Cricetulus griseus: one gene and its partner. The protein of the gene in region 2 interacts with the protein of the main gene of each other region in a pairwise test. Links are inferred from orthologs where the notes say so. Each region holds a gene or a part of one and is shown on either strand. Other genes may lie near its edges.

What was found. The genes of interacting proteins can lie anywhere in the genome.
Region 1: the proteins of Ptk6 (region 2) and Fcho1 interact in binary tests that used the Homo sapiens proteins (3 or more experiments, as listed by UniProt). The two-hybrid records come from large-scale screens. The link is inferred for Cricetulus griseus from reciprocal best matches to the Homo sapiens genes PTK6 and FCHO1.

What each region holds. Positions count from the first base shown.
Region 1 is NW_023276806.1:248,089,868-248,100,852, forward strand, and holds the start of Fcho1 (F-BAR domain only protein 1), read right to left. Parts: upstream 6,246-10,985; 5' UTR 6,136-6,245; intron 2,564-6,135; 5' UTR 2,523-2,563; intron 2,004-2,522; exon of another isoform or gene 2,000-2,003; 5' UTR 1,956-1,999; coding exon 1,929-1,955; intron 1-1,928. UniProt on the Homo sapiens protein: Functions in an early step of clathrin-mediated endocytosis. Has both a membrane binding/bending activity and the ability to recruit proteins essential to the formation of functional clathrin-coated pits.
Region 2 is NC_048599.1:696,737-707,456, forward strand, and holds the start of Ptk6 (protein-tyrosine kinase 6), read left to right. Parts: upstream 1-4,565; coding exon 4,566-4,792; intron 4,793-6,703; coding exon 6,704-6,825; intron 6,826-7,257; coding exon 7,258-7,421; intron 7,422-7,815; coding exon 7,816-7,969; intron 7,970-8,470; coding exon 8,471-8,632; intron 8,633-10,720. Other genes in the region: tyrosine-protein kinase Srms, read left to right, coding at 116-297, 379-535, 783-976. UniProt on the Homo sapiens protein: Non-receptor tyrosine-protein kinase implicated in the regulation of a variety of signaling pathways that control the differentiation and maintenance of normal epithelia, as well as tumor growth.

The DNA of each region.
Region 1 (10,985 bases), on a different chromosome or scaffold from region 2:
AGACAGCCGAGGGTCTGAGGAAAGACATCCAGGGCCTATGTCTCTGATCAGAACCTCTGGGTGACAGCCAAAGGACATTTTTAACACGGTTTGATACCCCTCTAGTGCTCACACATCTGCCATGGCTCCCCAGTGCTCTCCAGCCTTCTGGTCCAGACTTGCCTCAAAGGAACTGGGGTGCCCCTAAAACCAATCAGTTTGGGGCATGGCTCACAGGTGGAGCCCCTGCCTAGGATCCCCTGGTGAGGAGCTGGGGACATGGCTCAGAAGTGGAGGTCTGCCTATTACATTTGAGGCCCTGGGCTCCATCCTCGGCAGGGAATTAATAGAAAAGGAACCCTGATACCTCAGCCACCGATCCATGTCCCAAAAGACAGAACTCTCATCTATTTCCTGTACCTCCTGGGGAAACTGAGGCTGGCTGGCCAGCCCCTCCCCAGGGAGAACCTCTGAGCAGAGGGACCCTGACTTGAAGGTCTGAGCCCTTGCAGCTATCTTGGGGTGTGCATGGGAGGGAAGTTGGGGTGGCTTCTATTCTCTCCTTACTCACTGACTTCTCCCCCATTTTCACACCTCTTGGAATATAAAATACTGACAATCCACGTAGGAGCTGTCACCGCTCCCAAATGTGGGTGTCTCCTGGGCTGCTGCTGCAGGACAGGGGTTCTGATGACAGCCCATAGAACAACTCCTCCCAGGGGTCACAGAGCCATTGGAGAATCTGAGCCCTGCAGGTGGCAAGGGACAGTGGGGGGCCCTTTAAGACAGCAGAAGCAAGTAAGAGAAGGCCCAGCTGGGGAGGGAGAAGGGGAGGGAGTGGGGCTTGTTGCTAGGGGCAACCGGTTGCTTAGTAACCAGCCACCACTTTGCAAGCTGTGGGCCTACTGGGGAGGAAGGGGCCTTTCAGTCTGATGCCTCCAGACTCCAGGCTCCCACTCTGGGGTTGCTCCTGCATCCTCAGTGGCTCCCCAGTTCCCTGGCCCAACCAACTGGGAGGAGACCTTGATCCTTGAGTGCCACCCAGCGTCACACCTCTGAGATGAACTCAGGGTGTTTCCTGTGGTTGTAATGGCTTTTGCACATCCTGGAAAACTGGCCTTCAGAGCTACAGCAAACTGTAGATGGGCTGAGCCACAGGTTCAGGCTGGCTCTGTGTCACTAAGAATGGCAGCTCCTTTCTCAGGGCTCAGATGTGAGTCTCCCATCCCCAGACCTGGTTTGCAGCAGGCCTAGATGGCCAAGAGGGACAAGAGGGGGGGCAATCTCCCCCAAAAAACAAATTTCCCAAAATGAAAATAAAATGGAATCTCCCTGATTGGCTTGCCTAGATCTGAGGAGTTCAGTGTGGCCCAGGTGCAAGGTCATGCTATTCTAACATGTCATCTGTGATTCTAACATGTCATTTGTGGTTCTAACATGCCATCTGTGGAAACGTTCCTGTATAGCCCAGGCTGGCTAGGGACTGTGCCACTCTCCTACCTCAGCCTCCCCAGGTCTGGGATCCCAGGTGTGTACACGGCCACCCAGCTTTGTGTTCTTCTACTGAGTGATTCTCAGACCACACATGCTGCTCTGGGCCTGATTGTCAGTGCTATAATTTGTGTTCCTTGTCCTGGGTCAAAGCAACCTGTGTCTCCAAGGTTTTTTTTTTTTTTTTTTTTTTTTGGAGACAGGGTTTCTCTGTAGCTTTGGAGCCTATCCTGGCACTCACTCTGGAGACCAGGCTGGCCTTGAACTCACAGAGATCCTCCTGCCTCTGCCTCCCGGGTGCTGGGATTAAAGGCATTCACCACCCGTTAAATTCTACCTTCTATCTGCCCAGTTCCTCCTCGACCATACAAAATCTCTACAGCTCTTTTTGAGCCCCCACCAAAATAGAGTGGTGAAGAACAAAAGGGAAAAGAAAAAGAAGAAACAGCACGTCTTACCCAAAAATGTTCCCCAAAATATGACATCCTGGTGGCCTCTGAGGAGACCCCTGCTGGCCTCTGTCCAGGATCTGTCTGAAAAGAGAGGTACATTTCAGGGTTGAATCATAACCCAACAAGAGCTTGACCAGGGAAATTCCACCCACCCTCCCTTCACTAAGGAAGTGAAGGTCCAAGGCCGGGAGCAGGCCAGGCCCTGAGAAATGCCTTAGCCTTGGCCCTGTGGCCCTAGGTAACAGGGGCATATATGTCTTGGTCCCATGGGGCTGAACACTGGCTGGGGAACAGGAGCTAGAGTGGAGGGGGCCATGGTACAAGGGGTTTTAAAGCATGGATAGGTAAAGTCCACAGTGGTATTGGATGAACAGAATGGCTCTAGGCCATTTTAGATTTAAGTAAATTGAGTCACTTCCCAAGAGGGGAAGCTACTTGCCAAGGTCACATGGCATGAAGGGACCGCGGATTTTGTGTCTGTGGTTTCTGTGGGAGAAGTCTGTGCATGATGTACAGAGTCCCTTGAAGTGTCATGGACACAGTTCCTCCCTCTGTCAGGGGCTCCATGTGTCCCAACCACCTTTGAAAGCCACTGTTCACCTGGCTCTGAGTCACTCGGCTCTGTCCCTCAGTTTCTCCATCTGTAGGAGGTAGAAAACCCAGGTCACTTTGCATCGGGTGGGGCCGTGTGGCACAGAGGGGTGTGCAGAATCCTCAGCTGTCATCGGAGCTGGTGTGCTCATTCATAGTTCATGAGCTATTGGGCTGCAGGCGACAGCTGGAGCCAGGAGGCCCAACAACAGACTAGACAGGGACAGCTGACCATAGGACCAGACTATCCTGGCCCCTCTGGGAGGACCCACTTAGTTCAGAGCCTCAGTTTACCTAACACGGAAAGCTGGCCTGGAACTCTGGATCCTCCTGCCTCAGCCTCTAGAGTTCAGGGACTCAAGCTGCATGTCACTGTGCCTGGCAGGTTCCCCTGGCCTGGCCTGGGAGGCTGTGTGTCCCAGATATAAGGAGGACGCTGGTGAAACCAGGTCCAGTGGGAGGGGTATGGCCACTGAGGCCCTGGAGCAGGCATAGGAGTTCACCAGGGAAATAATGATTTCATTTTCAAATATCTGCCCTCCCACTCTTGGGTTAGGCAATGCTTCTAGAAGCTTCTCTGTGGTGAGACACACTAACACTCCAGGAGGAAATCCCCATATGTCCATAGTATGGTTTTTCTTTGTTTCGTTTGATTTTTGAAGCAGGGTCTCACTTTGCATCCCAGGCTGACGTCTAACTCATGTCCATCCTCCTGCCTCAGTCTCCCAAGTACTGTGGTGACAGCCTGGAGCCAACACACCACCTTCCTCCTGCATCCTGGTGCCTGGCTAGAACCCAGCCAGCCTATCTGAATCCCTTAGAATGTGCTGGAGGACAGGGGACTCAATCCCCCTGCACCCGTGTGGCAACTTCATCCCCCTGTGGCCAGGCCCTCACATGTAGAGCCACACTGGGGATGTGGCAGCCGTCTCCAACAGGACAGATGAACTTCTGCCAGGTTGAAGAGGCTCCTGGGGAATGGGTGCTGTTCCCGGAAGTCCCCCACCCCCTCCCGCCACAGGCAAAGCCACTGTCCCCAACCCCATACATTCACTCACCCCACCGGCTATCACACCCATGTCAAACGCTGTCTCTCACAGCCGAGACTGCCCACCTCAGTGCCCAGAACTCCACCCAGTGGCCCTAAAGCTCCACAACCTGCACTCTGGTCAGGGCCGACCTGGGGTGGCAGGAGGTGATGCCAAGAATGGGCCCTGACGCTGCCACCTGGCCCAGGAAGTGACAGCTATGGCTGACCCCAGACCTGAGCCCACAGCTGTGGGACACCTTCCTGTTCTGAGGTGACAAAGATGTATGCTGGGATCAAACTCACCCATGGGCGCCGAACAGGGCTGAGAGCCCCTAGGGGCTGGAGTAAACACCGGGAGGCCATGGGCCCCTGACACTTCCGCCAGCCCTGAGTGGAGGCCCATGTCTGGAGGAGGACAGGAAGCCTGGCCCGCCCTGTTTGCCACCCAACCGTCACCTCCCCGCCCAGCACCCCTGGGACCTGCCCACAGCCACAGGGTGGCATGCAGGGCGGGGGCTGAGGGAGCAGGTGGGGACAACAATACCATTACTAGAGAAACACTAATTAGAATAAGTACAACAACACCCGGAGCTGGGCCAGGATAACCAAGAGGGAAACTGAGGCTTGAAAATGTTTGAAGCCTCCCCTCAGAGAGGGGAACCCAAACATTCTTTACAACTACTTCAGGGCCAACAGATTAAAGCTTGTTTTAGACAAGGTCTCATGTAGCCCAGGCCGGCCTTAAATATAGCAGATGATGACCTCAAAGTCCTGATCTCCCCACCCAGACTTCCGGGTGCTGGGGTGACAGGGGTGTATCACCACGCCTGACTTTGAAATGTAGATGTTGAATACTACAGAGTGTCCCTCATCCCCATGTTATTGGGGGGGGGTTGTTTTGTTTTGTTTTTACTAATATGATTTGAAAAGAAGTTAAAACATCATGGAGGCCCCTAAAAATATTGTGGAGCTAAGACAGTTTTCCCAATGTAACCCAGGACTTCCTGGACACTGAAACACCAGAATGAGGCCCAGAGACTGATAGGCACTTGCTCAGCGTCACACAGCATTCCACCCCACACCAATTCCCCAAAACCTGGGGCCTGGGTGTTGGAACAGCAGCTTGGACACAGAGAATAGACATGCCTGGGTAGTGGAATTTTGGGTTTTTGGTGTGGGCTGGCTGTGCCCACAGCCCTTGACCCCTTGCTGTGTGACCTTCACCCATGCCTTCCTCTCTGAACCTTGTGATCCCATCAAACAGAAGCTCATGCTGCCCCCAGACTTCAGCCAGTGCTCCGGGCAGGGAAACTGAGGCCCCTGTGCCATCCTTCGGCTGGGTCACTTCATTAGATGCACACACATTGAGCACCACTGTGTACCCCAGTCCATAGGTGCTGGTGACTCTGGTCACACCCTTCAAAGACACATCCCATTTTCTCGTTGGCCATGACCCCATTTAATGTATGCAATTAATAATTAATATCATGAGGAGCAGTGTTTACAGCGCGGCCTCACTCTCCTGTCCCCTCTGATCTTCCCACGGGGTTCCGGCCCATGTCACAGAAGGCTCAGCCAGCCTGAGCACACCTGTCTGGGACTCACCCCACCGTCCCGCAAGGGGCAGGGGCTAAGCGCCTGACCTCCCACCTGGGACTCCGCCCAGGAACCGGCTGGGCCCTGCCATCGGTGACAGTATGTGGGTCAGGGTGTGACGGGCAGCCACACCGGTGGGACCGGGACCGGACCCGGGTGACAGAGGCCAGGTCTCCATAGGAGGCGGATCCCGCCTAATGGTCATGTGGGAACTGTCCTCTCCCGGTCCTAGGTTCCTCCGCGAAGGCCAGACTGTACCCATCGGGCAGCCTGGCTATGTAGCCCAGGCTGGCCACAAGGTGCACGCCATCCTGCAGGCTCAGCCTCCCAGGGACAGGAATAACCCTGCCAGGCTCAACCCATTTTAAAGGGCCGAAAACTGAGTCTTTGGGATCTCCATCTGACGAAAATGGGGTGTGCATGTTGGGGTTCTGAGACAGACAGGCTGGCCTCTTCAACCTCAACATTTCAAAGAGGAGACTGGGGGTCAGGGAGGTGCTGTCACCTGCCCAAGGTCACCATGAAGCAGGTTCCGCGGTGCTGCGGTCGAGCGAGGGGCTGCCACCCTCGACCTCCTCCGCATCCCATCTCAGTCACCTCGACTAACTCTGTCCCTGGGAGCAGACGCAGGCCGCCCCCCTCACAGAGCGCGGGAGTCCCCGGTGCGGGCTCCAGGCCGCTCCAGGCCCCGCTCCACTGCCTCGCCCTGCAGAGCCCCCACTTGCCTGCCAAGTGAAATGGGAGGGAGGTGACCCCGGCTGTCAGGCGAGGACAGGGACCACACGGGCAGCGACGGAGGCGGCCCCTACCCTAGGTCCTGGGAGCTGAAGATCTGGAGGAGGAATTTGGGGGTCCTCGTGGTCCCCGCTTCCCAGACCCGGATTGAGGGGAGCAGCACCCCGCCTTCTGCAGGCAGCACCTGCGCTCGGGCGGGCTCAGGATGACGGCTACGCCCGCTCGCCCGCTCGCCCGCGCCCCGCTTTCGGAGACACTCACCCCGTGCTCCTCGCCCCACGCTCGGGAACAAGCGCCCCGCGCCCCGCGTCCGGGGACACTCACCCCGCGCCGCCGCCACCTGCGCGCTCTGGACCCGCGCCCCGCCCTCCCCGCGCGCTGCGGAGCGCGCCGCCGGTCCCGCCCATGGGGTGTGGTCGGGAGGAGCTCCGCCTCGCCGAGCTTCACAAGTCTTGCGCTGGTTGGTGGAGCCGCGCCACTCACCCGCAGGCTATTTGCATAGTTTAAAGTGGCAGGAGGTGCAGGCATTTATTGAGGGAGCGGCATTTATTGAGTGCCTACAGTGTGCTTGGCTCACTGAGGAACCTCTCCAAGGCTGTGAGCGAGGTAATATTCAATACGGAGCCTCATTTTACAAACAAAGGCACTGAGAGCGCTTGGAGTTGCTTTGGAGGTCACAAGGCAACTCTAGTCCATCCATTCACACTAGGCGTCATGAACTTACTCAGGCTGTTGTGGTGACCGAATCCAGCGCCACGCAAGAGCTACATATTCCAAGTGTCCTTTTTCTGCCCAGGGAGCCTGTGTGACATTCAGTTCTCGAGTCACCTTCAGGTTCTGGGGGTTGAGAATGGTCACAAAGGCCTTAGACATTTTAAATGCGCGCGTGTGTACATGTGTGTATGTGTGTGTGATACTGTGTGTGTGATTGTGTATGTCTGTGTGATTGTGTGTGTGAATGTGTGTGCATGTGTGTGTATGTCTGTGTGTGAGTGTATGTGTGATTGTGTGTGTGTATGTCTGTGTGTGTGATTGTTATGTGTGTATGTCTGTGTGTGATTATGTGTGTATGTGCATGTGTGTGTATATCTATGTATGTGATTGTGTGTGTATGTCTGTGTGTGATTGTGTGTGTGTGTGATTGTGTGTGTATGTCTGTGTGTGTGATTGTGTGTGTGTGATTGTGTATGTCTGTGTGTGATTGTGTGTGTGTGTGTGTGATTGTGTATGTCTGTGTGTGATTGTGTGTGTGTGTGTGATTGTGTGTGTGTGTGTGTGTGATTGTGTATACCATTTATGCACACCTCTCAATGGGTGACCATGATGATTAGATTTTTATCAAACCTGGGAAGTAACCTCAGTGACCTCACAGAAAACGCCTCCCCCAGGCTGCGGACCTGTCTGCCGGACAACCCAGCTCCACCCCTGGGCTGCGGAAAGAGCAAACCGAGAAGCCCTAAGAGCAGAGCAGTAAGGCGCGCTCCCCACGGCCCCGTTCGGTTCCTGCCTGACGTCCTGCCCTGGCTGCCCTTCATGACAGACTGGCATGCGGCCCCGCATTGCTTTACAGCAAGGTGTTCACAGTTAGCAACGGAGCCAGCCCTAAGCCTGAGTCAGATCGAATGGTTAGGGGTTTAGATCCAGAATGTTCTTCCAAAGGGTACAGTATGCAGCAGTGTAAAAGAGCCAGCCGACCACAGTAGTACTTCCCGCCGGGATCTCAGCGATGCAGAGGCTCGCCTGGGCTCCCAAGTTGAAAACAGAGGATTTGGCCACCACCAGTAAGTCCACCAACAACTCCCAGTTTAAGGGACTAGGAGGTAACTGACACATTAGGAGGTGGGGCTTTAGTTGCAGGGAGGGGTCACCCAGCTCCCCTTTCTAGCCTCTGAGAAGTGGGCAGCTTTGCTCTGCCGTGACAAGGTCTGGCAAACTGTGACCAAGACGCCAGGGTGGTTGCTCTTGCAGGACCTCCCAGAACCGCACGGTCTTTCTTTCTTTCTTTTCTTATTTACGGTTTTTCCTTCCTTCTGTTTTGGGGGTAAAATGGGATTAGGGGGTGTCTGCGAACACTCAGCTGTTGTTCTACACTGAGCCACGCCCCACCCGCCATCTCCCCTCGGATTGGTCCTTTTCTTGCCGTTCGGAGCTCTTCCCGCTCCGAAGCCGCCTGGCTTTCCCCCCGGGGAAGGTACCGGGCGTGGGCTCCGCCCTTTGCTCCCTGACCGCATTCACACCCGCGACTCCCATTGCAAACCTGGACCAGGGGCGAGCGAGGGGCGGGGAAGGGAGGCTGGGACCTGCGGCTAAGACCTGGGGAGGAGACGCTGCAGCCTCGGGAACGCGCACGGTGGGAAGGCACAGCCCAAACCAACCGCGCGAGTCCCCGGAAGCCCCGCCTCCGCCCGCGTGCACACGCATGCACGCACACACAGGATCGCTTGCTGAGTCTGGGGACCAGCGAGTCCGGGCATCCTCCTGCCTCGGAACCACGTATTGAGATTACAGACCCTTCAAGAGCATCTTTTTACCAGGGTTCTGGGATTCGAACTCAGGTCCTCTTGCTTTTTTCTTTTTTTGGTTTTTCGAGACAGGGTTTCTCTGTATTGTTTTGGAGGCTGTCCTGGAACTTGCTCTGTAGACCAGGCTGGTTTCGAACTCACAGAGATCCGCCTGCCTCTGCCTCCCGAGTGCTGGGATTAAAGGCGTGCGCCACCACCGCCCGGCCCTTTTTTTTTTTTTTTTCCCATTTCAAACAATATCACCATGTAGCCCAGGCTGGCCTTAATGTAAACGTCCTCTTGCCTCAGCATCCTGGACAATGAAAGCACTTGGCCGGCCCCTGGCACACACTACTGGTCTCCTTCCTTCCTTTCGCGCTCCGCCCCAGGTCCAATTCCCTGGGGCTCTGAGCTGTGGGCCTGGCACCCCCTAGCGTCCACGGCCGGCTGGCTGCATGGTTGCTTTTAGTGTGCAATCAGCCATAATGGGAAGGGAGGGAGGGAAAGGAGTGAGCAGAAGGGGCTGGGTCATGACGGGCCTGCTGTGAGGGAGGATGGCCCCTGGAGATGGCCACCTAGCCCACCAGCCCGAACAAAACGCTGGCTGGACCCAGCCTCCTATCACAACCTTGGTGAACATCTGTGCCTGTACTGGGGGAGCTCAGTCAGCAGTGCCTATAGTTGGAACACTGGCCTGCATGCGCTCACAGGAAGCAGAATTTGGGCCCCGGGACCATTTGTGTGACACAAGCCTGTCACCCCAGCAGCTGGGAGGTGGAGGTGGAAGGATCATGAGTTTAAGGTTTATGTAGTGAGTTTGCCAGCTGGCCTGGTCAAGTGCTGAAAGCTCAGTCGGGAAGTTGAGGTGTTAAGTTCCCAGCGGTGCTAGACATGGGTTGTACTGACTGCTCTTCCGGTTCAGGACCCCTGACTGTGGGTTCTGCTGGCAAGGGGGAGATGAGTTGCTGGGAGGTGAACTCAAGGCCCCAGTGCTCCACAGCTGTAGCCTCCTGAGCACTGCTGCCTGATGGACCAGGAGGGTCTTGGACTCCCTGATGACTGCCAGCATCCTCTTCATCACATAGACAGGTGGTCAGCAGAGATGACCTTTGATCCCTGAGGGCCCATCCCTGGGGCTGACACAGCGACTGTTTCTGCTCCGTCATAGCTGGGACACCCATCACCACAGACTTCAGGCTGACTGAAGTACCTGTGAGCACGCATAGGGAATGAATGAGGCCCAGGGAAGACGCCACAGTAGGAAAGAAAAAAAACAAAAACAAAAACAAAAACAGGGCAGAAGAGAGTTCCAAGGCCAAGGGCGCTGGCTACCCTTGGAGAGAGCTGGGTCAACTCATCACTCCCCTTCCAGGATTCCAGTTCCAAAGGGCCTGATGACTTTCTGACCACTGTGGGCACTGCGAGTATGTGGTGCCCAGACAGACATGCAGGCAAACACTGGTACATACAAAATAAATCTGAAAGAATAAATTCTGAGACCTGAGACACCTGTCACTTTTAGCACTCAGGATGCTTAAAAGCAGATCTGCTGTTAAGTTCATGGCCGTGGATGAAAGTGCTGGCAACCAAGCCAGAAAGCCGGAGTTCAATCCCTGGACCCACTGGGTTGAGGGAGGAAAGCCATCCTTCCAAGTTTTTTTCTGACTGCAACACACATGCAAAATAATACAAAGTGACCCAGCCCAGAGTGCCATCTTGTGGGGCTGAGATGGTGGCTCCTGTGGCCAGTGAAGGCTGTGGAAGGTGGGCAGGGTGTATCTGCCTTGGAAGGACTCAGGCTGCAGGGGGAGCAGTAGGTCTTCATGGGGCTGTGGCCCTGGGCTCATTCCCGCAGTGCAGTCTTACTACATGTGACCCACCGTGCTGACTGCACCTGTGGAGGCCTTGTGGTGGCAGACAGACTTGCTTTTGGATTCCAAATGGCGTATGCCACCAGCTCTATCCCCTACCTAGCACCCATCCCCAGAGCCTTCATTACAAGCTGCCTGGCTGGTGACATAGCCTTGCCCACAGCTGCTTCAAACAGGTCTGGTCTGGAGATGCAAAGCCAGAATCAAGGTTCTACAGAGTTGGTGCCTGTCTCACTGCCTGTGACATGGGCGGCGCTGAGTACAGAGCCAAGGCATCCGGTGTCCCACCCCTGTCTTAGTCAGGGTTTCTATTGCTGTGAGGAAACACCAAGACCAAAGCAACTTGGGGAGGAAAGGGTTTATTTGGCTTACACTTCCATATCACTGTTCACAATCGAAGGCAGTCAGGGCAGCAACTCACACAGGGCAGGAACATGGAGCCAGGAGCTGATGTAGAGGCCATGGAGGGGAGCTGCTTACTGGCTTGCACACCCTGCTTTTTTATGAAACCTAGGACCACCAGCCAGGGGATGGCATAGCACACCACAGGCTGGGCCCTCCCGCAACGATCACTAATTAAGAAAATATACCTATAGCTTGATATAGACAATTTCTCAATTAAGGCTCCCAATTGTCTCCAAGTGTGGTGGCTACAGCCATTAAGAAGAGGGAACATAAGAAATTGCCCCCACCAAATTGGGCTGGGTGTGTAAGAGCACAGTGAGCAAGCCAGGGGGGA
Region 2 (10,720 bases):
TCCTCAGAGATGGGGGAACCAGAGCACAGAGGAAGCGTATTTACACGTGTACTTGTCTTGCCAGCCATCATGCTGTGCCCTCAGGAGTACTGCCACCCAGCCCCTCTCTCTACAGGCCCCGAGGGAAAGGCTCTGAGCCTACCTCATCTACTGGGGTTTGCCTGCCAGGTAGCTGAGGGCATGAGCTACCTGGAAGAGCGTCGTGTTGTTCACCGGGACTTGGCAGCCAGGAACGTGCTGGTGGGTGATGACCTCACCTGCAAGGTGGCTGATTTCGGCCTGGCCAGGCTGCTCAAGGTGAGTGGGGTTCTAGGCTGCTAACCTCCGCAGAGGGAAAGGCACTACTCTGAATTCCTCACCGTTACCCCACATCCCCAGGATGACGTCTATTCACCAAGCAGTGGCTCCAAGATCCCTGTCAAGTGGACGGCACCTGAGGCAGCTAATTACCGAATCTTCTCCCCAAAGTCAGACGTCTGGTCCTTTGGCATCCTGCTGTATGAGGTCTTCACTTATGGCCAGTGTCCCTATGAAGGTGAGCCATCTGAGAGAAACCATGATTTATCAGAGCAAGTGTAGTCTGTGGGATGTAGCCTGGGGTCCACCCTAAGGGAGGAGATAGACCCTGCCCTGAGAGTCACTGACCCCCAAAGGTCAGTGGGCTGGAGTACCAGCACAGACTGGTCATGCAGAGGATAGAGTTGGGGGAATCTCTCTGGTGACCCCCACACAGAATCAAGGCAGCTGCTGCCTGGCCCCTCTTCTTGCTCTCCCCTTACCAGGAATGACCAACCATGAGACACTGCAGCAGATCAGTCGTGGGTACCGGCTGCCACGCCCAGCTGCCTGCCCAGCAGAGGTCTACATGCTTATGGTGGAGTGCTGGAAGGGCAGCCCTGAGGAGCGTCCCACCTTCGCCACACTGAGGGAGAAGATGAATGCCATACACAGGCGGCTCCATCCCAGCCTCACGTGACCAAGTCTCCAGCCCCACATGCAGCAGATACAGCAGCTGCTTCCTGAAGGGTGTCTCCCAAGGAAACACTTGTCACCAACACACATGGGAGATGCTGCACAACTGGGAATGGCAACAGCCTCAGAGAATCCAACCCTGGGGCTCCTTCACTGCATAGGCCAGTACCAGCATGGGCACACCAGATGGATGGACAGACACATGAGGACTGGGCCTGGTCATGAGCACTCACTTAGAAGTGAAGGCTGATGCCCTCCCCCTGGTGTGGTTTGAATCCCCAGTGTCTCCAAAGTGTTGGTGAAGGGTAGAAGAGGAGCTGTGAGGAAATGCTGGACAAAGGAGTACCAGTAGAGGCAGCAGTTTCCTCCCTACCCTCACCTCACCCCGGGCTCCCTCAGCGCCCTCCTACAATCAAGGATGAGAAGCCCAATTTCTCTGTCTCACTGTGGATTTGGTTAGTATCCAGGGCTAGGGCTCCCAAGCATATCTCACCAGTACAGGCTGTGCACTCCTAGGGGACAGCAGTTATCACCTGCCCACACCCACTGCACCCACAGGTACCGGCAAACTCTAGGTGCACAGAGTCTGCTTCAATAAACATGCCCCAGTGGATTCACCTACCAGCTTCCAGAATGAAGTGGTGGAGGCTCTTAAAGATTTGAACCACACCCCAGAGCCAGAGCTGCTTTACAATGTGGACCCCCATGACATTAAAGGTGCGGACTGCTGGAGCCAAGTGAACAGCCCTTTCCAGCTCCCTGGCCAAGGGTTGAAGCTTCAGTTTCAGAAAGGGAAGACTAGTTGTTTGGTAGTCAGCACGCCCAGGCCTTTCCCAGATGCAGAAGGGTAAATTTCAAGACTGTTTCTTTGGAAGGGCAGTGTTTAGGAGGCAGAATTTTCTGGTTGGCAGGACTAGGCAGATATAGGTAGGATACTGACAACCAGACAACCTACCATCTGGGGCAAAGCCCCCGTGGGTCACTTTTGTGTTTGACTGGAACACCTTGAGAAGCTGGGCCCTGAATCACTCAACACTTTAGGGCGCTAGGAGCAGTATATTGAGGATTGGGGGTGGGGAGCTGTGCTCAGGTATTCAAGATCATTTCACTCTCCTTGTAGCTGTAGAAGGCGTATAAGGCAGAAAGGCTGGCAGTCCTCTAGAAGGGATGGAATTTGGGGCCAGCTCTGCACAGAGGCCAATGATCACCAACCACATCTGTGGGTTGGCTGAGAGCTGGGAACTGGATCTCATATGAAGTAACCCCTTAAGTAACAAGGAGTTTGGGTCCTAGCCAGTCATGGGCTTTCTCATGCGGAAGCAGGGCTGGATGAGGGGAACTGAGGGCATGGATTGCACCATAGACAGAGGCTTAGTCACTATGGGACCCACATCAACCTGCCTGCAGGTTCAGAACAGAGTGCTCCTAGGAGCTGTGGAGGCCAGCCCGACAGAGTGTGCTGACATTGGTCTTTGTAGGTGAAAGGGACAGTGGGATTGAACTGAGGTATGGCCCTGCCTCTGCTTCAGCCTGAAGCTCTGACCTCTTGAGAGGAGGAATCTGGAACTGACAGTTGGCTGCTGTGGGCTCCTTGCTTTGCCAGCACACACAACAGCAGTGTGGGCCCAAGGGCTTGCAAGGCATAAGATGATAACATTCTGATGTTAAGTGGCTACCATGAGTCAAACTAGGAGGACACTAGAGACAGGATGGGGAGAAACATGGTGCTGGGCTTGTGGCCAAGCCATGGAAGCAGGTTTGGCTGGGTCCTGGCACATTCCTTTGTGTTTAGTCAGCCAAAGATGAACAGGTCTGGCCCTCCTGGGAGAGGCCAGGGACTTTTGAGCTACTTGATATCTTTCATAGAGCTGCCCACAAAAGTCTCATTCAGGGACATGTGACTGTCCGGGATACAACTTGGGTTCAAGACTTGGGGCTCTGGAGCAGACAAGGAAAGCAACTGTGGAGTTCTTGAGGCTGATCCATGCCAGTACCATCCTCCTTCCTTTCCTCTTTCTGTAATTCTCCTTCCCCACACCTTGTTGGGAACTGAGTTGGGCTTGGTAGGTGTGGAGCTACTAATAACAGCATGTTGCTGTTCTTAATCCTCAAAGGTGGCAGGTGAGTAGTGCTATATCTCTTCAATGAAAGAAAATTCAAGGCCTGACACAGTTCTCACTGGTAGAACATTTGTTTATCATGCATGTGAACCAGGATTTGATCCTTAGCATGAAGCAGCACCACCACCACCACACTCCCCACCCTACCCTCAAATTCAAATAGTACTTTCATAGTCTCATACAGCTTTTTTTCCCAGGTCACTCATCCTTACAGACTTGTCAGTTTCCCTTCGCATCCTTCTCTGTGGCTGTCTTCCAGATCCTTATGAATGAGAAAGGTGGTTAGGGCCACTCTGGAGAGAGGGAATCTTTGGAGATTTCAAGGTTTAGTGTGGGGCAGGGGAGCAGGCAGGAAGGCTGTAACAGTCACAAGCAGGGCTGTAGGAATTGGGGTAGCGTGGAGTAGAAAAGGGACATGGTGGGAGTTGGGGGAGGGGACACAGAGCAGAAGGGGAGCCTGAGAAAGAGGGAGGTGGGGTTGCAGAGGCCCTGGTGGCTGCCCTCTTGTGTCCTTATCTGGGAAGACAGGACAGTGTCTGCTTCTTGAGCTGCGGTCTATGGACTACAGACATGTTTGAAGATACCAGAGGGCCCGCTAAGCCAGCCCGTAACCCACATGGATGTTCATGCCTTCATATCCCTTGGCTCCTGTTGTCTCCCCAGATGTCAGGCTGTGGTCTAGCATGCTGTCCTGGGTGGCTTCTTCAGGATAGATGAGCATCTGAGTGTCTTCACTCACTTCAAGGAACCAGAGCTTTGTAGCTAGCAGGAGCTCATGGGTCTCACCCAGGTCCCTCCCACCCTTGTCTCCAACACAGGCCCTGCCTGATTCTCTTGATGCCATTCCTAGATTTAGTCCTGTCAGTGTCTGGTGGGTGGACACCTCCCCAGGGAGGTGGCTGTCAGGACTGTCAAGTCCTTCATAACTCTATTTGTGTGTGTGTAGAAGGGAAGTCTCCATTGGCAGAGATACCAGCCAGTGTAGGAGAGGGTTTTTGTTTGTTTTTCTGTAGAAGAAACAGCACCTTGCGCTCTACTCTGTTCCTGTGTGTTCTAGCAAACTGCCCACCATCCTTGAAATTTCCCTCCACCCACTCCCCTCTCCATCTTTTGGCTCCAAGACTCACACCCCAGGGGCTGAGGGTTCAGCTGATACCTGATGCTCACCATCTAGTGGGCTCTTCCATGTAGCCGTGACTGGGTCTTGTCAAGGGGTTGCTGAGATGTCAGACTTCCACTGAATATGTGTGATCATGGAGCATGGTTTGACCCTGAAGACAAAAGAACATACAGGAAGCAAAAGGGCATTTGGGGTGGAGTCAGGCTAGTTCATCTCCAATGGGTGCTGGGTGTGGCTGCTCTCCTATCATGAGGAAGTAGGTGTGATTAGCTTGCTGGGAAAAGCCCTGCCTACTCCCAGGAGTAAGTGTCCATAAGCAGCTCATAGCTGGCTCTGCCATTGAGCCTGCCGTGATGTCTTGGGACAAGACCCACCTGGGCCCTAAATACATGGGCCTCTGGGACTTCAAGGCACGAACAGACGACGAACTGAGCTTTCAGGCGGGAGACCTCCTGCATGTTACCAGGAAGGAGGACCAGTGGTGGTGGGCCACCCTGCTGGATGCAGCAGGCAAGGCCTTGGCTGAGGGCTATGTGCCCCACAATTACCTGGCAGAGAAGGAAACTGTGGAGTCTGAGCCGTGAGTGGCCCCGGAGAGCTGGCACAGGGGGAGATGGGGTGGACACTGGGCTGGACTGGGGAAGCCAGAGGGTGTGAGATCCTAGACATTCAGGTGGTCATACTGTGATCCTTGACATTCTGGTATACAGGGTTGCTGATGGGGCCCTACCTCTGTGTGACACTGGGGAGTGGGGCCTCTTGTTTTGAGCCACCCAAGACCACTTCCCATACATACGGTTCTGCTAGGACCCAGATAGGACAGAAGGGCCTAGTATGGGTTTTTAGAATGCTGGCTGCAAGAGAAAAGATCTGTGTGGGAATTCAAGAACTGTTGGGGGTGTGAAGTTTGCTCACTTTCCAAACAGCCGGAACCAGATATGCAACCTAGTTAAAGAAGAGGTGTGCTGGGGCACACCTACTTGTATCACCTGTTGGGGGTACATGTTGCAAACACAGTGGTATGTTTTTTCATGTCCACTCAAGTACCTTAGTCCATTGCTCCTGGCCACCCACATACCTAAGCCCCTAGAGTCTTCAAGGAGCTACAGTAGTACCTGGTGTTGGCATGGCCACAGCTACCCAAGTACCCAAGCTATTTAGCTCTGAACTAAGGCTGGGAAGGGTCCAGCAGGAGGGGTTTCTTGTTTTGCTCCTCAGACCTCCCCCCCCCACAACTCATTTCACAATGAGCACCTATTGTGCTCAATGGAAGATTATGAGCACACAAGGGGACAAGAAACAAGAGTAATAATGGTACCAAGGACAGTTCCGGAGACAGGGCTCATGATGGGAACAAGGTAGGCATGAGCGGTATATATAAAAGACTGAGAAAAGCCAGGTGGTGGCATATGCCTTTCGCACTCATGAGGTAAAGGTAGATGGATCTCTAAATTCAAGGGCAGCTTGTTCTACATAGTGAAGTCCTGTGGCGAGAGAGAGAGAGAGAGAGAGAGAGAGAGAGAGAGAGAGAGAGAGAGAGAGAATTACGTGGCCAACATAGTAAGAGCAAAAGCTCTGAGGTCCAGAGAATCTAATCCAGGTGAATAAGTCAGAGGAGGAGTGCAGCAGAGGAGGCAAAGTGGTCAGAGGGGTGAGTAGGCAAGATTCTTTAACTTCACAGGACCTCAGGAGGTGGGCTTCAAGGGCTTGAGCTGAATATTAGGCTCCTACGTTCCAACTGATCTTGAGGGTGTTGGAGACTCCAAGGGCAGAAATCACCTATGGAATTCCAAGGACTTCCACCTGTAGTTCAGTTCAGGCATGCCCCATCCCTCATGTTGGAAGCCAGCATGCACAAATGCTTTGGAATGGGAGAATAAATATGTGCCACTGTGTCTGTGCAAGCACATAAGGGTGTGTGTATGTACTTGTGCAAGTATGCAGATGTGATCGCATGGATGAGAATGCATGCCTGTGCACATAAGTGCACATGTGCAAATGGATATGTGATTTGCATGGTTATGAAAACACGTGTGAAAGTATAAGCCAGGAAGCAGCACTGGGGATTGCTGTTGAGATTTCTCTCTCCCCTATTTCTGGGCCAAGGTTGGGATCAGTAGCTCTGGACCCACAAGCTGTTATGAGACATCCACATGATGGAATTGCAGGCCTTGAGGGACAGACTGACCCACAGGTGGTCATCCTCCAGAGCAGGATGGTAGGCAGTACTTGCACATCTATCCCACTGCTGGGCCACTAGGACATGTTCTGGTGTCCAGAACCAGCCGTTTAGGTCTTTCAGGGCCCATGATGGACCAAAAGGTTGGGAGCAACATGAGAAACAGATTAGTTGGGGTTGGGAGTATGAGATAGGAGCTAGGGGTAGCTAGGACTCCAGACAGGCAAGGCAAAGGTTAGATTGTTGAGAAACCCAGTGGACGTGTGTCTGGGGTGAGGATCAATAGGCTGAGGCTGACTTTCTCCCCTGCAGGTGGTTCTTTGGTTGCATCTCTCGATTAGAGGCCAAGCACAGGCTGCAGGCTGAGGACAACTCAAAGGGTGCCTTCCTGGTCAGAGTCAGCCAGAAGCCAGGAGCAGACTATGTTCTCTCTGGTACTGCTTCTCAGACCTCCCCTCACCTATACTAGCTCTGAGACTTTCCTGACCGCATGGTGATCTGCCTTTCTTCTGATTGTGAAGTCTGGGACATCTTCCTCTTCCACTGGAAGCCCTGACCCCTCCCTGTGGTCCAGCTACCCACTTTCAGCCTTTGAGGCAGAGAGCCAGGCACTCCAGGTTGGGTTGTTTCCCTGTGCTTTCTGGCATATCCTATGTGTGTCATGGAAACCAAGGCTCCACAGGTGGTCCACTGTGCACACGGCCCAATAACCTAGGGGTGCAGGAAACAACAGCCATGGCTTATGACAGGAGGGCCAGGGAGCCTTGGGCGGGCAGTGTCCAGGGTGGGAGCAGGGGCAGGCAAAGTGGGGGACTTGCAAGGTAGGATGCCTGCTTATGCCTCCTTCCTCCGGCCATCCACCCCAGTGCGGGACTCTCAGGCCGTGCGACATTACAGGATCTGGAAGGACAATGTGGGCTGGCTGCACCTGAGTGAGGCAGTATCCTTCCCCAGCCTATCTGAGCTCGTGGACTACCATAAGACCCAGAGCCTGTCCCATGGCCTGCAACTGACCATGCCCTGCTGGAAGGTAGGCCCCTGGCTCCTCTGTGATGTAGTTGGGGTCAGACAGGTGGAGTACAGTGTTGAGGCAGGAGGGGCTCAGAAAAGGGTATTCCTCTTGGCTGTCACTCTTATTACACTGACTCACCAGAGCTCAGTTGTGCTCCCGCTAAATCCTGACCCATGGTAGGTCGGGTGACAAGGTTCAGTGGCCAATTGCCTGATGGGGCTTATTAACCTTGATGGATAAAGACAGCTACATTTTTATGCAGGATGCTCAGATACTACTATGCTGGGGGTAGCTCTAAATTTAAAGATAAATAGAGCCCTCATGTGGGATTCAGAGCAAACACTCCCTGAAGACAAGCTGAGTGACCTAACCACCACTCCTATCACCACCATCACCCTTTCTGTCTCTCCAGCACAAAACTGAGCCCTTGCCCCACTGGGATGACTGGGAGAGGCCCAGGGATGAGTTCACACTCTGTAAGAAGCTGGGAGCCGGCTACTTTGGGGAGGTCTTTGAAGGGCTCTGGAAAGGCCAGGTCCGTGTGGCTGTGAAGGTGATCTCTAGAGGTGAGCAGGCCCAGGCCCAACTCAGCTTGGTCACATGTTACTTCCCCACTTGTTCTACCAGTGGGCACTTCTAGTCTCACCCGGCTAGAGGTATCCCAACATACTTACTGGGTACCTACAGCATCATGGTGGGAGTAATTTACTTCAATTGTACCCATTTTTATTGAAACGTCACTGGAAATGTGAGTTTTACCTAGAATCCCAGCCTCACCCTCAGGTTTATACCTGATCCTTCAAGGATCAGGTCAGCCAAGACCTTGAAAATATCCAGATGGGAAGTTTTGACTTTGGCAGTTGTGACCAGGTGGGGCATAGGAGGACAGATTGACACATCAGGCTTGGGGCACTGAGGCCTTGGTGGTGGTGATTTAGTGCTGCAGCTTGGGGGCTAGCCTTTGTCTTCCTAGGCTGACCATATTTCCTGAGCTGCTGCAGGAGGCCTGGACCTCGTGCCTGAGGCACAGGTCAAAGACTATATTCACTGAGCCTGGTGTCTCTCAGAAAACCTCCTGCACCAGCACACCTTCCAGTCTGAGATCCAGGCCATGAAGAAACTGCGACACAAGCATATCCTGGCACTGTATGCCGTGGCATCTGCAGGGGACCCTGTCTACATCATCACAGAGCTCATGCCCAAGGGAAGCCTGCTGCAGCTATTACGGGGTAAGTGGCAAGCTCCACCCTCCTTTCCCTGAGGTGAAAGTGCTAGAGGCAGCAGGAGATACACATAAAAGAGCCAGACCAATAGGAACACAATACAAGCCTGGTACGTGAGCTAGCTTGCTGGAGCCCATTCCCTTTGGTGGGATACCATGCTCAGCCTTAATGCATGGGAGAAGGGCTTGGGCCTGCCCCAACTTATTGTACCAGACTTTGTTGACTCCTCATGGGAGCCCTTACCCGTGAGGAGTGGACTGGGGGTGGGCTTGGGGGGAGAGGAGGAGGATCAGAGTAGGGATGGGAGGGAGAACTGTGGTTGGAATGTAAAATGAAATTTAAAAGAACAAATAAATTATAAGGAAACAAACAAACAAAAGAGCCAGCAGACATGCAGATCCTACCCATCCCTGCCTGACCCACACAAAACAGCCAGGAGTCCCCAGATGAACTTGTTGCTTTCTTGTTTAAGAAGTTACTTATTTTTTTTTAAAGTGGTGGTTGGTGGGGTGGGGGCTGGAGAGATGGCTCAACAGTTAAGGGCACTTATTGTTCTTGTAAAGGACCAGGGTTCAGTTCCCAGCACTCACATGGTGGCGCACAACCATCCATAATTCTAGTTGAAGGGGATCTGACACCCTTTTTTGGCCTCTGTAGGCATCAGGCATGCATGTGATAGATACACAGACATACATGCAGGAAAAATACTCAGACACATAAACTATATGTAAAAACTAAAGATGGAAGCTGGGCATAGTGGTTCATGCCAGAGGCAGGCTGATCTCTGTGAGTTCGAGGCCAGTCTGATCTACAGAGTGAGTGCCAGGACAGTCAGGGCTACACAGAAAAACCCTGTCTCCAACCTCTGCCCCTCCTCCTATAAAGACCTAAAGATGGAGAACAACCAAGGAAAGACATACACATGTACACATGTGCACAAACCCACAGTAACAAGTACATGCACCACACCACTAATACCACACCCCTCAAACACACAAATTGAAAAACAAATGGCCGGCGAGATGACTCAGTGGGTAAAGTGCTTGCAAGGCAAGCATGAGGACCTGTGTTTGAATCTCCAGAACTAATGCACAGAAGCACACATCTGTTATCCCAAGGCTCCTACAGTGAGGTAGATGGGAGGAAAACAAAAACAAAAACCCTCCTTCACCATGTCAAAGATGAAGACTAACACCCAAGGTTGCCCCCTGACCTCCATACACATGTACACATACACATTATACATATACAACAAATAAAAAGCAAATGACTTAAAATATGACAAGTCTGCCAATTGCTGATCATAAAATTTGAAAAGCTATAGATAAGTACAGAAGAGAACACTCAACCACAATGTTTATACACACAGTTAACTGAGGTCACTTTACTATAGGCTCTGTGTAGCCTGCTAGTGACCTGCAACAGCCCACTAGCTTCTCTCTCTTCCTGAGACCTGCTGTCCAGCCATACCTATATGTCCTTATACCCAAACACATGTGAAACACTGAAATACACAAATACAGACATTCACACATGGCATAGATGTACCCTCACACATGTAGACACAACTCATCTCACCGACAAGAAGACACCACTGTCTGTTTTCTTCAACACAAAACCAGCCATCCCCACCAGCTGAGGTACTGTGCAAAGATGCTACCAACTTCATACAACAGGGAAAGGTAGGGTGGCAGTGTAGGACAGTCATGCCTGGGGGTATATGTATTAACATATCAAAAGCATTTAGAAGAGTAAAGTTGTGTAATTTTCGGCAGGAAGTGGTCTTCAGAGATCAAATGCATGCCCCTTGTAGGTGTAGCTGTTAGTATTCAGGCATCTGTACTGGCCTGTCCTCGGGGTTCTAACAGGATATGCCCTCGGCTGCAGCCACTAAGAACAACAACTGTGCATATTCACTATGTTCCCTTTTAAAAGGGCCCTGTCCACCTGCCATTCCTCTCTCTTATTCTCTTCCTCTCTCTCTGTCTGTTCCCCCCTTCTCCCCCCCCATTTCTTTCTACTGCTGCTCCCATCCCCAGAGGCTGGTCTCCCTCCTCCCCTTTTCCCTTTTTATGACCCCTTTTGCTAATAAAA